Linked DNA regions of Drosophila melanogaster. The main gene of each other region encodes a partner of the protein of the gene in region 2 in a complex. Each region holds a gene or a part of one and is shown on either strand. Other genes may lie near its edges. The genes, in order: eIF3e, eIF3m and eIF3d2.

The links.
Region 1: eIF3m (region 2) and eIF3e share a complex: the UniProt entries of both Drosophila melanogaster proteins name them as parts of the eukaryotic translation initiation factor 3 (eIF-3) complex.
Region 3: eIF3m (region 2) and eIF3d2 share a complex: the UniProt entries of both Drosophila melanogaster proteins name them as parts of the eukaryotic translation initiation factor 3 (eIF-3) complex.

Annotation. Positions count from the first base shown.
Region 1 is NT_037436.4:16,783,339-16,788,654, forward strand, and holds eIF3e (eukaryotic translation initiation factor 3 subunit e), read right to left. Parts: upstream 3,604-5,316; 5' UTR 3,496-3,603; coding exon 3,406-3,495; intron 3,312-3,405; coding exon 2,919-3,311; intron 2,833-2,918; coding exon 2,008-2,832; 3' UTR 1,904-2,007; downstream 1-1,903. Other genes in the region: CG9706 (uncharacterized protein), read left to right, coding at 1-1,374, 1,540-1,713; CG9674 (uncharacterized protein), read right to left, coding at 5,072-5,205. UniProt on the Drosophila melanogaster protein: Component of the eukaryotic translation initiation factor 3 (eIF-3) complex, which is involved in protein synthesis of a specialized repertoire of mRNAs and, together with other initiation factors, stimulates binding of mRNA and methionyl-tRNAi to the 40S ribosome.
Region 2 is NT_033778.4:14,161,529-14,166,844, forward strand, and holds eIF3m (eukaryotic translation initiation factor 3 subunit m), read right to left. Parts: upstream 3,298-5,316; 5' UTR 3,004-3,297; coding exon 2,959-3,003; intron 2,843-2,958; coding exon 2,663-2,842; intron 2,609-2,662; coding exon 1,670-2,608; 3' UTR 1,538-1,669; downstream 1-1,537. Other genes in the region: O-fut1 (O-fucosyltransferase 1), read left to right, coding at 1-52, 108-1,198; CG8323 (uncharacterized protein), read left to right, coding at 3,750-3,997, 4,061-4,196, 4,615-5,142. UniProt on the Drosophila melanogaster protein: Component of the eukaryotic translation initiation factor 3 (eIF-3) complex, which is involved in protein synthesis of a specialized repertoire of mRNAs and, together with other initiation factors, stimulates binding of mRNA and methionyl-tRNAi to the 40S ribosome.
Region 3 is NT_033777.3:12,193,412-12,198,727, reverse strand, and holds the start of eIF3d2 (eukaryotic translation initiation factor 3 subunit d2), read left to right. Parts: upstream 1-3,716; 5' UTR 3,717-3,775; coding exon 3,776-4,768; intron 4,769-4,845; coding exon 4,846-5,316. Other genes in the region: Adk1 (adenosine kinase 1), read right to left, coding at 1-31, 138-642; CG43450 (uncharacterized protein), read right to left, coding at 3,241-3,387. UniProt on the Drosophila melanogaster protein: mRNA cap-binding component of the eukaryotic translation initiation factor 3 (eIF-3) complex, which is involved in protein synthesis of a specialized repertoire of mRNAs and, together with other initiation factors, stimulates binding of mRNA and methionyl-tRNAi to the 40S ribosome.

The DNA.
Region 1 (5,316 bases), on a different chromosome or scaffold from region 2:
AGCAATGCCGACCAGGAGTTGCTCATCGACGAGCCACCAAAGTCGGAAAAGGTGGCGGAGCACCAGAAACCAGATATTCGTGGAGACCGGAGGAATATAGCCATACTGCTGTTCCTGTACGTTCTACAGGGCATTCCCATCGGGCTCATAGCAGCCATACCAATGTTGCTGCAAAATAGAGGAGCTAGCTACAAACAACAGGCGGAGTTTTCATTCGCCTACTGGCCATTCAGCTTAAAGCTGCTGTGGGCTCCAATTGTGGATTCCCTGTACATCCGGCGATTTGGACGCCGGAAATCGTGGCTAGTCCCAGTGCAATACCTTCTGGGAGCCTTTATGTTACTCCTCTCCCTCCACGTGGATCGCTGGCTGGGCGGGAACGGTGTCGATCCCAATGTGCCGCTCCTGACGCTGCTCTTCTTCCTGCTTAACTTCCTGGCTGCCACTCAGGACATCGCCGTGGATGGCTGGGCCTTGACCATGCTGAAGCGATGCAATGTTGGATACGCATCCACCTGCAATAGCGTGGGCCAAACAGCTGGCTACTTCTTGGGCTATGTGGTGTTCATTGCCCTGGAGTCCAAGGATTTCTGCAACACCTACATAAGAGACGTGCCACTCGAGGATGGCATGATCACATTGCCCCGTTTCCTTTGGTTCTGGGGCATTACATTTGTGGTAGCCACTACTTTGGTGGCAATTTTCAAGAAGGAGAACGACATCGAAGACGCGCATATGGACGCTCGCTACACGGAGGAGCACGAGTTGAACATCCATGAGAGCTACAAGATATTGTGGGACATGGTGTGCATGCGTCCCGTCCAAATTCTGGCTGTAATTCTGCTCACCGTGAAGGTCACGTTCGCAGCCTCTGATGCAGTGACCAGCTTAAAACTCATTGACGCTGGTGTACCGAAGGATAAGCTGGCTTTACTCGCCATTCCCCTAATTCCTCTGCAGCTCATTCTGCCGCTGGCGGTCGGTCGATATACGAACGGACCACGTCCGATGGACGTCTATCTGAAGGCCATTCCCTATCGCATCATCATGGCAACAGTGGCCACTGGCTTGGCCTACATCACACCCTATATTGTCCGTGGAGGAGCCGTGCCTGCTTATTACTACGTCCTGCTGATCACCAGTTATGCCATCTACCAAGTATTCCTGTACTCCATGTTTGTGGCCGCCATGGCCTTTTTCGCCAAGATCTCCGATCCAGCCGTCGGTGGCACTTACATGACATTTTTGAACACATTGTGCAATCTGGGCGGTAATTGGCCCAACACAGTGGTGTTGTGGTTGGTGGACGTGCTCACCTGGAAGCAGTGCTCCAATAATGCGGAAAATACCTGCCAGGGCAAGGAGGAGCAACAGGTGAGTGCTCAGAGAGAGATTCTACAGCATACAAGATTATTATTATTATTGTATATGGATACATATGTATGGTGAAAGTTTTACCCCAAACCAGGAAAAGATAAACTTTGCCAGTTATGAGATAAAAGTAACTAAACAAATATTTTTCTTAATTTTCTCCCGCAGAGCTGTGAAGCGTCGGCTGGCAAGTGCGAGATAACCTTCGATGGGTACTACTTGGAGTCGGGCATTTGCGTTCTGTACGGCATAGTGTGGCTGCTGCTGGTGCGCAAATGGATCGTTTACTTGCAGGACCTGCCCGTCAGATCCTGGTTGGTGGTCAAGCAGAAATCGCGGTAGCAATCAATAGTGTGATCCGGGGCCAGATCGTCATAAAGATCCAGCACCCACTTGTAGGTACAAACAACTAATTCTAGGATTAGCAGACGTTTGCATTCTGTAGGCTAGCGAAATTACAAATTCCCGCCTTGGTATTGTTTTTTGTATAACTAATTTTGATTCCGAAGGAAATAAAATCAAATGTTGAATTGAGCGAATGAGTAAGATGTTAATTTATTCGCTCGACTGCGCGCAATCATCGGTTTTTAAAGGGTACAAAGAGTCTTAACTTAATTGTGGATAAAAAGTCAGCAACTAGTAGTACTTCCAGGAGTCGGCCGACTCCTGATTCTGCTTCTGCTTGCTCTTGCGCTCAATCAAACCTGCCAAATGCTCCGACCGCATGGACAGCGAGTCGATCTTCTCCACCAGCTGCTGATAGGGACTCAAGGGCTGGGTGCCCATCACCACATGACCCAGTTTCGAATCGATCTTGGCATTCAGACGGGCATTGCGGATAAGGTTGACGATCCAGCACTCAGCCTCGTTGGGCTTCATGTTCAGCTTATCGGCCAGCATGCTGATGGTGATGCACTGGTGGATGCGGCAGAATGTCTCGAAGATCATCAAGCGGGCATCCTCCACGAACTCATTCAGGCAGGCCACGATGAAGAAGTCGTTGAGGATCACCGTCTGGCACTCGTGCAGCTTCAGACGCGCTCCCTCGAAATCAAAGTTCACGTACAGACACTCCAGAAACTCGGTGATGGGATCGCGGTACGTGTACGACTCCTGTTGGATCACCTTGATCAAATCCTTTAGAGCATTGCGGCGGGTGCGGTTGATGACTACGGCGGTGGCCAAGTAACGCATGATGTGCGGACACATTGTCTGAATGGCGTTCAAATACAGGGGCTTGTACAGGAACATCTCAATAATGAGATCGCGTCCCTTGGGGTGATTGAAGAAGACCAGGACCGACCAGTGGATCAGCCAGGTGCGTTGCTGCAGGGCCTGGATGGTGCTGAAGTTGGCGTTGTCAATGTAGTCGCGCAAACGCGTCAGATCCTCCAGAGCAGTGTTCCAGTTGAGGGTCAGAATCTCGGCGGCCAGCTTGCCCCACAGCACATTAAGGTAGTTCTGCAAAATTTGGGAGACAATATCAATTAATATTCTTGTTTTAGTGGTTTTTGCCGCTTTTCATGTTAATTTAGCTCCATACGCACCTTGTCGTTGGGCGACATGACGATGAGGCAGAAGTACAGGTAAGAGGTGGACTCCTGATAGTTGCCGCACTCGTAGAGGTACTTGGCCAGCTTGTAGGCGCTCTCCAGGTGCTCCACCTTAAAATTGTAGTCCTTCTGAAGGGCGTTGACGAAGGTCTTCGAGTCCTTCATGCTCTCACCGTTCTTAAGAATGTCGGTGGCCTTCATGATGGGTGCCACCTCGTTCTGCAGCTGCTTAAGCGTGGCCAGGACCTCCGCCTTGCGCTGCACGAGCTCCTCGGGCATCTCCTGGCTGAGATTGAGACGCTTGCGGGTGTCCATCGTGTAATCGATCATGTTCGTCTTGTTCACCGTCTCCAAAATGTACTCCAGCAGCTCCTGCTGGTTGTAGATCTGCAACGAAAGTCACACATATGAAGATTTCCCATAGTTATGTACTGGTGACTCGGCAACCGCCAGCGGAGCACCGCCTGGTCGCTTTTCTAACCTCCTTGCCGCACAAGAACTCCAGCAGCGGGAAGGTCAAATGCCTGTCCAAAAACTGGCAATTGATGCGTGTCAGATCGAAATTGGCCATGATTGCAGCTGTTTTACTATGTTTTCACAATTAAATTTACACGCAAAATCGGCAGAAAAATACGCGTGCGAGGGCCGACAGTGTGCCCAGAGACGAAAAGAGTGACGCCCGCTCAGAGTTACCAGAGTGTGGTATTTCCACGACATTAAATACCATGACCCTGAAGCCGTATTTTTTTCAAGCTTTCAAAGTGGCGCATTTATTTAAAATAAAATTAAGTCATTGAAACAACTTTCAAAAAATACTCAATTTTCAAAATTTCTATTATCTTAGCATGGCTATTATAGCAATAAAAAATTATTATTTCAATTGTGGCGCCCAGACTGAAACCCGGTCTGGCATCACGGCGAAAAGAGGTACTAACGCCAAGACCTTTCCTGGAGGACGATATCTTCTGTCTTCTTATCGTCAGACTGGACACACTGGAACTTCAGCTCCGCTCGTAACAAGCTTACGGCATAAAACAACAAGATATTGTACTTAGTAATTAAATAAAGCGGTAACTACATAAGTTACCATACAATGAATTTAAAGAAATATTATTAAATATTTTCTACATTACAATGGTTTCTCATTCCTTTAAAGTTATACGCTTTACGTAAAATACCAATAATTTTAAATTACAAGGTATACATATAACAAAGGTTTTTAATTTCAAAAAGACGTTGCCTCTCTTTTCAAGCTATTAATAAATATATTTCCCATGCCAAATTCAAAACACAAATATCAACTCATCGGAGAAATGCTTTTTAATAATTTGAATATTTATTTCATCAAATACTTGCACATAAATATATTTATATAGAGATGTCTGTATAAGGGTATACATTTGGGTTAAATATGTTTTGTATAAATTGTGTAATTCTTTGTATTCGCACATTCAACTGCCAAAGAGCAGATTTGTTTTAACAATAGCCACTTAGGTACATTTGCGGTCAACGGTCGAATGCAGTTCAAAACACAAAAACAACATCTAAAAAATGCGTTTCGATATTGGCCGAGTTTAATACATTTCTCTTTCTGTATATACGATTTATGGATTGTATATAGGATGGTGGAGATCAGCATATCAATTTTCACTTCATATATTTCGTTTGCATAGATTAGGCAACTCAAGCTAAAACAACATTGAAAAAATGCATTTTCTAAATATTTAATGTTCAATTAATTTTCATTTTAACGATAACGGTAAGTTTCTAGTTATTGTCCTTAGATTTTTTGTTGGATATTCGATTTCCGTTAAGATATACATATTGATTGGCTTCAATCAGAATTTCAGTTTGCACTCTTAATTGACTCCTGCCGCATCATCATCATCATCATCATCATCATATGGAGGGCATCTCGACGAACCACTAACAATTCCCAGCCAGCTTTGCGATCAAAATAAAACTAAATGAAACGTGTTTCGTTTTGGTTTGGTGTGTAAAAAACTCAAGTCTTTTTAGTGTAAACTAAACTAAAATCGCGAAAATAAAAATCACAAATCGTTAAAGAATTTCGCACTATAGGCTAAGGACGATGCACGCACACAAAACTTGATATTAGCTGCTCTGGCTGCCTCTGTGGATCCTCTTTAGGATGTCGCGATGACGCCACCAGGTCCTGGAAGCCCACTGGGACGGCCGGTCAGATAGGAATCGACCTGTCGTGCGGCCTGGCGACCCTCGGTAATGGCCCAGACGACCAGCGACTGGCCACGCCGGCAATCTGCAAAGGACAGAAGATAAATTAACATTTTTGTTATGCAAAGATACAGAAATCATTCAATGATTGATGTGATTAACTCTTAATACTAAGCCTATTACTTAGTAGACATAA
Region 2 (5,316 bases):
GCCCAATTGGGGGGCGATCCCAATGGCTACCTCACCTACTGTCCGTGTATGGGTAAGTTTCACTTGGAAGCAACCGAAAAACGACAACTAAACCGCGCTTTTCAAAGGACGCTTTGGCAACCAGGCCGACCACTTCCTGGGATCATTGGCCTTCGCCAAGGCGCTTAATCGCACCCTGATCCTGCCGCCGTGGGTGGAGTATCGTAGGGGTGAACTGCGATCCCGTCAGGTACCGTTCAACACATATTTTGAAGTGGAGCCCCTGAAGGAATACCATCGCGTCATCACCATGGCAGATTTCATGTGGCACCTGGCCGACGACATTTGGCCAGAATCGGAGCGAGTGTCATTTTGCTACAAGGAACGATATAGCCTTCAGCAGGAGAAGAACGATCCAGACAAGCCCAATTGCCACGCCAAGGATGGCAATCCTTTTGGTCCCTTTTGGGACACTTTTCACATAGACTTTGTGCGGTCAGAGTTCTATGCGCCACTTCATTTTGATGTGCATCATAGCAACGAGGCTGCCAAGTGGCAGACCAAATATCCTGCAGAATCATATCCCGTACTCGCGTTCACCGGAGCTCCGGCTAGTTTTCCTGTTCAGCTAGAGAACTGCAAGCTGCAGCGCTACTTGCAGTGGAGTCAACGGTATAGGGAAGCATCTAAGGATTTCATCCGAGAGCAGTTGCCTCGGGGTGCCTTTTTGGGCATTCATCTGCGCAACGGTATCGATTGGGTGAGAGCCTGTGAGCACGTCAAGGATAGCCAGCATCTGTTTGCCTCGCCGCAGTGCTTGGGCTATAAAAATGAACGTGGTGCACTCTACCCGGAGCTCTGCATGCCCTCCAAGGAGGCGATCATCCGCCAGCTAAAGAGAACCATTAAGAACGTGCGCCAAACTCAGCCGGACAACGAAATCAAATCAGTTTTCGTGGCGTCAGACTCCAATCACATGATTGGTGAACTAAACACGGCCCTTAGTCGCATGGGCATCAGTGTGCACAAGCTGCCGGAGGATGATCCTTACCTGGACTTGGCCATTCTCGGACAGTCGAACCACTTTATCGGCAACTGTATATCCTCTTACTCGGCATTCGAAAAAAGGGAACGAGATGTGCACGGTTTTCCATCGTACTTCTGGGGATTCCCCAAGGAAAAGGATCGTAAGCATACAAACGTGCACGAGGAGCTGTAATGGAGCAACAGGATTATCTACTTAAATACTCGAATAGGCTATTTTTCGGTTTTCTTTCCTAATACTAGACAGTTTTATTACATTGATTAAGCAATATTCTGGACTTCACTTCTTAAATGGTTAAGGTAAAAGTTTCAACTTACAAATTTAATGAATTTACTTTTGAATGTTACCAATATTTAGTGCTTTTAAAGAATATCAGTATATTTATGTTTTATTCTTTTAGCTTTAATTCTTAAAAAGGATTTTAATGAAACCCGTTAAATGCCTTCAAAAACACTACAACTTAATTGTAAGCTATTAAAGTATTCCTCGCATTTATGAAAACACTTGTTTGCTACCGATTTTACTTATAAATTTATTCAAGTTATCCAGCCCTCTCGCATTCTTGAAAATAATTTAGGTCGTCACTCCAGTGCCCCGAGGCCAGCATTTGTTCATCATCAGTGCAATTTTTTGGAAGTGGTGCGCCTAGTGTATCAGCTTCTGGGATCGAGCCAGATCCAGTTGCGCCGAGGAGACGCTCGTTAGACCCTCGCGCACTGTGCTGAGGTTCTCCTTCCATGCCTGCAGCAAATCGCGAAGCTGCTCCCATTGTGGTGCTCCAAAGGTTCGGTGCATTGTCGATGAGATGTGTACCTTTTGATTGGCCTGATCTAGTCGTGCGCGTACCAGCTTTGTTTTCAGCACCTCGATGACGAAGGGCTCCACCTCGTCTTCGTTGATCTGCAGCTCCTTGGTAAGCGTTTCGAATGTCATCTCCGGGCTGCTCTCGGCCAGCTGCATGAAGGTCAGCAGACGCATCTTCTTCATGTTCTGCTCATGGTTCAATCCTTGCGAGTTGACAAACTCCCTGTGATCCTCGTAGAACTGCACGTACGCTGGCAGCTTCTCGGACACGAAGATGGACAGCAGGTCGTGGATGAGGTCGCCTTCCAAAAAGCGCACAGGCTTCAGCGACAGCAGAGGATCCAGCAGGAATGTATTGGGGTCGGCCAAGGCAGTCACAATGCACTTCATGGCATCCTCACGGGCAACACAAGCATTGTCCGCCGTGTAGGTGCCCAGCAGCTCAATCATAACCTTGGAAGACAGCTCCAGGTTGGTGTCCTTGGTCACGTCGTGCAGCAGGCGGTACAGCTTCTGCATCTGTTCCGACGAAGGTGGGCAGTTGGCAAACTGGGATTTGAGCTGATCCACACCTGAGAAGACCTCCAGCACCTGTTCGCACTGCTTGGCCACCTGGACCAGGTGGTAGTACACATGGTAGCGTAAGGGAGAGGCGGTGTCCAGGTTGTTGAACAGACGCCACAACGACTGAAGGCACACCTTGCCCAATGGAAGATTGGGAGCCTTGGTCATCTTCTCGCAGTAGGCCAGGACAATGTTCTCACCGCGATCCAGGGGTATCTGAAATATTGAAGGTTATTTTTTGTTGCTAATATTGTATTCTGTATTACTCACCGTGATCATGATGGACACAATGCTGTTTAGAATTCCATCAATCTGCGAGGGCTCACCATCCTTAAAGCAAACGTCGCAGACGCCGATGATCTTGTGCAAATCATCCTCCACACCTTTATTGGACTTCTCCGATGAGATTTCGGCTCCCAGCTTCTTGAAATACTTGCGCAGCTCTTGCACCTTTTAATAAATTGCGAATAATATTAGTTTTGTTTTGCAGCAAGAGGAAGACATAACCTCAATTCGGGCAAGGCGCCGCCCGAATTCATGGCTAAAACAGGGCACTTTCACTCTACCTGCTCGTCCAGGGACAGGTCTATGAAAACCGGATGCGAAGTCATGGTTTTGTTAAATGTTATTCCACTTTTTTAAACAAATTCAGCTGAAAATAACACGCACACACGTCTTCGGCGCTTTGACAGCTCGAAAGGAAAGAGAGCGACCAGTGCTGCCGGCCTGGTCCGTTTCCCGCTAATAGCGATGCTCTCAAACAATTGACCGAATTAAATTAAGATGACGTTAACGTGGCCACTTAAAATATATAATATTCCTCTGAAATTCATTCAGTTCAATAAAATTAAAATAGTTATGGCTTTGCAAGTGTATTAATGCTGACATAAAAATCAATTTTATAAATGTTTTGACGGGACTCTAGCTAACAATAAATGTGGGCAAAAGTAGTGTTCCCGGATCTTCTGAAACATATAAGTCACTAAGTGACTTCTTAGCCGTACCGTTACTAACGTTCTAAAACCCGTTTCTCCTGAATTTTAAATTTACCATCCAGCAGTTATTTATTTTACATTTATCACTTTACAGTTAAGCAAAATGACACGATTTTTGTTAAATTGTTAATTTGGCGACAGTCTGGCAACTCCGCTGCTACTAAGTTATATTGCTCGCCAAATTTATATTATATTTGTATAACGGGCGAGAAGAGCAGGAGTAATGCCAGCTAATCGGGGCGGAGAATTATGAAATACACGACACACACGCAGCGTGCGGCTTCCTAGAGCCACAGAGATTCCGCAGCAGGCGGTACAACCGTTACTAGTCAACCACTATCCTCAGCAGAACTCGTGATTACATGGCTACATCGGATTTTGTTCTGGGCGGCCTGGCCTCCGTGGGGGCCACCTTCTTCACCAATCCCATCGAGGTGATCAAGACACGGATCCAGCTGCAGGGCGAGCTGGCGGCACGGGGTACCTATGTGGAGCCCTACAAGGGGATTGTCAATGCCTTCATTACGGTGGCCAAAAATGATGGCATTACGGGGCTCCAAAAGGGCCTCGCACCGGCCTTGTACTTCCAGTTCATCATCAATTCCTTCCGGTGGGGAATTATTTAGTAGCTATATTTTATAATTATTAATCATCTTGAATTTACATTCGCCAGGCTCAGCATTTATTCGGAGGCAATGGAGAGGCGGTGGATGCACAACCGGAAGGGTGAGGTGTCCTACGGAATGGGACTACTGTGGGGCGCCATCGGCGGCGTCGTGGGGTGCTACTTCTCCAGTCCATTTTTCCTGGTACGCCAATTGTGGGAATGCTGCGGGAGGTTACATAAACAAATACATAGTTTATCTAAATGAGCCGCGTGCTCATCAGCATTATGGACCTTCCACAGATAAGAGACTTTATTGGCAATTGTCCATCAGTATCTAAATACTACCATTTCAAGATATCCAGGGAGAAAGTATTATACTTCCAAATATTCCATATTTTTTGACTGTTTATGGTTGTTTGCATTGCTTATTACTTTATGACATAACGCATTTATTGTTAGCCTATTTATACCAAGACATTTTCAAGATCTAGAAACAGAAAAATATTCGCTAAATAACTTAATAAGTATTGTAAACATTAACATATTATCACAGTCAATTCTCTTATGTACAATGTCTATATTTCTATATTATTATTTATGGTCCTTTCTTTTGCATCCAGATCAAAACTCAGCTGCAATCACAAGCCGCCAAGCAAATCGCCGTTGGCTACCAACATGCCCATACTTCCATGACAGATGCCCTGCGTCAGATCTACTCCAGGAATGGAGTACGAGGACTGTGGAGAGGATCTGTGGCCGCATTGCCCAGGGCGGCTTTGGGATCAGGTGCCCAGATAGCCACCTTTGGTAAGACCAAAGCCCTGTTGGTCCAGTACGATCTGGTGACCCAGCCCACGTTGAACTCCTTCTCGGCTGGCTTGATAGCCGGATCCATTATGTCGGTGGCCATAACGCCGCCAGATGTAATCACCACGCGTCTGTACAATCAGGGCGTAGACGCCGAAGGACGCGGTCTTCTTTATCGCGGTTGGCTTGACTGCTTTGTGAAAATCCTACGATCAGAGGGCGTTTATGGTATGTACAAGGGGTTCTGGGCCAACTACTTGCGCATTGCCCCCCACTCAACCCTTGTGCTGCTATTCTTTGACGAGCTGGTCGCCGTACGCACAAAGTATAGTAATCAATGACCCCAAAGATCACTGGCTAGGTAGCATTAATTTAAGTACAAAATTGTTAAAATCGTTTTTACCACCCGGAAATATACACATTGCTTTTTATTATTAAGCCAAGCTTTGATAAACAAATTTGATATGCAAGTGCCGCCGCATACAATTTGTTTGTCTAAATCTGGCTTTAGTCTT
Region 3 (5,316 bases), on a different chromosome or scaffold from region 2:
TTTGGACCGTTGATGATCACAGCACAAGAGCCTGAGAAATGAAAACGAATGAAATGTAGCTAATTTGTTATGCAAAACTTTTTATTATTCATAAGGTGCTCAGCTAGGTATTTTTCTTTTACTAAATTTGATCATACCTGTCGGCAGCTCTTCCTTCAGCTGATAAAGTGTTAGCAGGCCATCGGATTTGGCCCTCTTTTCGATGCGATCACCTAGCTTATCCTTGCCCACTGACCCTATGAACACAGCTCGAAATGGTGTCTGCACGATCCACTGGAAGATCCGCATCGAGTTCTGACAGGCTCCACCCGCCGAATAGATGACATTTTCCATGTTCATCAACTCATCAAACAGGGCATCGTGCTTTTCATCAGCAATGATCGCAGCATTTGCTTCCAGGCCGTACTTCTCCAGGATCACATTATCCTCAACGGTGCAGGTGATGTCCAGCAGGGGGTTGCCAAAGCCCATAAGTATTCCCTCTGGTAGATCCATTCTTCGGTGTTCCTGACAATCGCAGAAACTCCTAAAGGAAGTTCGAAAGACGCCACCAGAAAAATGCTGGAATGCTGGGGGATGGATCGGAGTTCTTCGGAACAATCGGAATGATTTTATACTGAGGCCAAAAACCCGCCTGGACATTCCCAATATTAGACCCTCGCCGATTCTTGAGAACTCCTACACCTGATGGATTCTACGCCTATTTGTCGTTCATGCTGTTTTACTGTATCGAACTGTTTAATTTGATTGATGTGACAAAATTTATGAGTGGAAGAGAACAGCTCGCCCCTCCGACGAAATTTATTTCCCTCAGTTGGTTAAAACGTTAATTACCTGCATAAATCAATCAGAACAATTAATATTGTTGTGGCCCAATTTAATGTGCTATTAATTACGTATCCATCTTGTCGATGGAAGTATGTATAATTGCTGTGCAATTACGTTGGTGCCTGCCTTCGTGGAGAAGGAGGTAGCTTTGGGGGATTTTATTTTCATTTCTCTGCCGGAGATGAATGAATTGAATGTAAGTGGGCTTGACAAGTAGGCGGAAGGGGCAGTCGGGGTGGGTGCTGGGAATGAATGCAGCCACCCAGAACGTGAATGTCCTTCCGCCGCCAAAAAAACATCAGCAGTGGAGGAGCATCCTGGGGGTGGGGAATGAAAAACAATGGCATTGCAGTGCTTTGCACAAGTTGCCTGGCATAAATTTTAATTTTTATGCAACACAAAAGCTGCAGAAGCAGCCCGAGTTTCCGACGCGCGTTGGAGCCATACAAAATCAGAAATAATAAATTGAGCACCGATTGATTGATACCCTCGGCTCTAAGGGTAGACAACTTGTTTAATATTTAATATCAAATGAGTTTGACTATGGTACGCTGTAGGAATCATATTAATATATATACTTATTGTTAAACTTAAGTATAAATACGGTATTGTCTTAAGCTGATTAACGTTTTGGCTTATGAAAACGCATAGGGCTTTATTATAGGCCATTTAACTTCTTATTCTAAACAGTTTCGGATAATGTATTGATTTAGTTAGGGTATTTTTCAAAGGAAGATAGATATCACCGGCTGAAACGACACCCCATAGCTTTGCTTAAGTGTTCCGTCTTGTTATCAATATTTGTCGCCATAAAAATGCAAAATACCATCGATTCCGCGCATTAATTCCCAGTAATTTTGAATATAAATTGTGCTGTGAAAATGTGTTTTTAATTTCACTTTCAGTTGGATCGCGTGCTCATAATATAGCATACCCTTTTGGGGAGGATGAGGTGTTTGGCGGTGGCGGGTGGCGGGCGGCAGTGCACTGCAGTGGCGTCGTTTATCGCTCGCGAGCCCCGCAAAGTATGCAAGCGGTTTTTCACTTTGCTTCTCCTGTTGTTATTTTTGTTGGTTGCTCTAGTACTAGTAGTAGTTTCTGTTGTTGTTGTCGTTCTTGTTGTTCTTGTTGCTTTTGTTCGCTGGGTAAGTACTTACTTATGTGCCAGGGCATTATTCTTGGCTGTGTTCCTTTCACCAAGCCGCTACCGCTTTTTCCTACAAGACCGGCAGTGGCAGAAGAAAAGCTTCAGCGGCAGGAGCGATTGCAGATGAGCTGGAGATGAGAGGGTAAATCCGGAGGTTGGAAAGCGGAAGGCGGATGGGGATGGAGAAACCGCAGCGGTGACGTGGCAATGCAGCTGCATAATGTGGCATGCGGTTTGCATTAAAAATGATATTGCAACACGAGCCGCACATCTGCAGCTGTGTGCAGTTAGGCGCCGCCTGCAGTCACTGACAGCCGCATGGCAATTATAATCCACACACACATACACTCACTCAGACGCACACTCATCCACGGCTTATGGCTACACTGAAATCAATTCAATGGTAAAATAGGAATTATTTCAGTCAAAATAAGTTCCCATTGTTATTGCTCCACAGAACCCATTATTATATTCTTGGTATGCATTCTTGGTCTTCTATTCTTACATTTGACATTATCTCTTCATATTCTCGCAGTGTATCAACAGAGAAGTGCGAGGGAATCTGGAGCCGGGCCATGTAAGCAGCAGCTGCCAGTGACATACACATCAACATGACACCCTGTCGCTTGACAAAGCTTAGCTCAGGATCTGGGTGCTGGAAGAGGGGCGGAGGCACCGCACTCCCACTGTCATCCCGCTCGCACCCATATCATTTTCCACACATTCAGGCACATTCACACGCTCGACATGTTGCTTTTTGGGTATGAGCCGGAGTGCAGGATGTCCGCTTCCTTTTTCGCCGCCTCACACGTTGTTATCTAACAAGCTTTTTATGTGATTACCTTTTGCCTTCTGTTAGTTTTACTATAATTTGGCCTTTACGCTTAACGAGATTGTTGTAAGGTGCTCCCAGCCAAGAATAAGGAAACCGAACCGGAACACAGTGAGGACTGAGCCAAGTTGACCAGATCCAGCACACAGGACACTCGTCCCATTGTAGTGCACTCCGCTGTTGTTCCTTTGCTTTCCTGATACTTGGGTCAGAACAATGGTGCTGGAGTTGGAGTCATATGAATGGAGTCATGTCGATGTGAGCTTAGATGCGTCGTCAAGTGATAATCCCGTCACAGTACCCCGCTTCCTGTACCATTTCCACAGCTCAACAAACATTTATTTGTGCGCTTAGTGAGGGTTTTTTATAAAAGATAATAAGAAACAAGAATTTGTCGGCTGGAAGGGGATCCCCGCGCCCATCCTGGATCAGCTCACCATGCGGAGGATGAGAATAATCGTGGCCAATGAGAGCAGCACGACGTTGACGGAGAACCGAAAGACGAACAGGCAATTACACATTTCTTCATTGTGGTTGCGGTGGTGTTTAATTGGGGGCAGGGCGTCCTCCTAAGATTCATTCTCCAAACGTCTTACTTCTCACTTTGTGTAGTTTATAGGGTTTCGGTGTGACTAGAAATACAAATAAGACTGAGCTTTTATTGTGAGGAATTGGTATCTTTTGATTTCTCACAATAGGCTTCAATCTACTTACTATAGGCTTTTGAAGAAATCTTTTTAGTTGTCTATCAAAAATTATTTAAAGATTGGATATTCGGTTATTTCCTTAATGGATAAAACCGCCTTTTTCATATTATAACATTATCCAAACGTAGGGCTTGGAAAATTTTCCCAAGCTGTCAAGCCGGCCATACGAAATCAGCTCAGTGTAATTTGTACCTCGACAAAACCGGATCACATAAATGTAAATACTTGCTCTTGGTTATTTAAACATCTTTCGGCGTGATTATGTCCAACTACGCACCCTTTATCAAGCCCTATGTGGAGTACAACGAGCACGGCTGGGGTCCTTGCGAGGTACCCGAATTGGATGTGCCCTACCAGCCGTTCTGCAAAAGTGATCGCCTGGGCAAGATCTGCGACTGGACTGCGATGGTGCCCGAGAAGAAGTTCCCCAGTAAATACGCCTCGACCTTTGGCAACAACAGTCAGTACGCATACTTCTACGAGGACGATGACTCCACCTTCCATTTGGTGGACACCACTGGATCGAAGGCCACCAAGCCCTATCAGCGGGGACGCTATAGACCCAATATGCGCAACAATGTGAGGAGCAGGGGTCGCACGGGGCGTGGCACTCCGAATATAGCAAGTCTCGGGGGATCCACGGCTGGAGGCGCAACTGCCAGTACCACCAAGTACGGAAAGGGTCGCAATACACGCAACACGCAGAATATGGGTCGCAGATTCGGTCGCAATGCTCCCACCAGAATCCGCGAGAGCTCAGTGATGGTGCAATCGGATTGGGTTTCGATCGAGGAGATTGATTTTCCACGCCTTCTCAAGCTGGCACTTCCCAATATTAAAGATGGTAAGGACATTGCCACCTGCGGATGGCTGGAATTTTATGATAAGTTATACGATCGAGTCAACTTACGCAATGAAAAACCATTGCAAAAGATGGATCGTGTTGTGCACACCGTGACGACCACGGATGATCCGGTTATTCGTCGTCTTTCGAGGACCATGGGCAATGTCTTTGCCACCGACGAAATCTTGTCCACCATAATGTGCTGCACACGCTCCAATTACTCTTGGGATGTGGTAGTCGAGAAATTGGGCACTAAGGTGTTCTTAGATAAGAGATATAATGATCAATTTGATTTGCTGACTGTCAACGAGACTTCAGTAGAACCTCCGATGGATGAGGAGGGTTCCATCAATTCGGCACATAGCTTGGCAATGGAGGCCACTCTAATTAATCACAACTTTAGCCAGCAGGTAGGTTTACAGTAGGTTTCAATTTATGTTATTTGTTATTGTACGTTTTTAAATCTTATGTTATTTATTTTTAAAAGGTTCTTCGCATTGGCGACCAAGAGCCACGTTTCATGTTTGAGGAGCCCAATCCGTTCGAGGAGCCAGGCGTGGATCTTGCCTCCATTGGCTATCGCTACCGTCAGTGGGATCTGGGCAACGATGTGGTGCTGATTGCTCGCTGCAAGCACAATGGGGTTATCCAAGGACCCAATGGGGACGTGCAGTTCCTCTCGATCAAGGCGCTGAATGAATGGGACTCCAAGGTGACCAACAGTGTGGAGTGGCGCCAGAAGTTGGACACCCAGCGCGGTGCAGTCTTGGCCTCCGAGTTGCGCAACAATGCTTGTAAGCTAGCTCGATGGACCGTTGAGGCTGTGCTGGCTGGTTCCGATCAACTGAAGTTAGGCTATGTGTCCAGGATGAATCCGCGTGATCACCTGCGTCACGTGATCCTTGGCACACAGCAATTCAAGCCGCAGGAGTTCGCCACCCAAATCAACCTGAACATG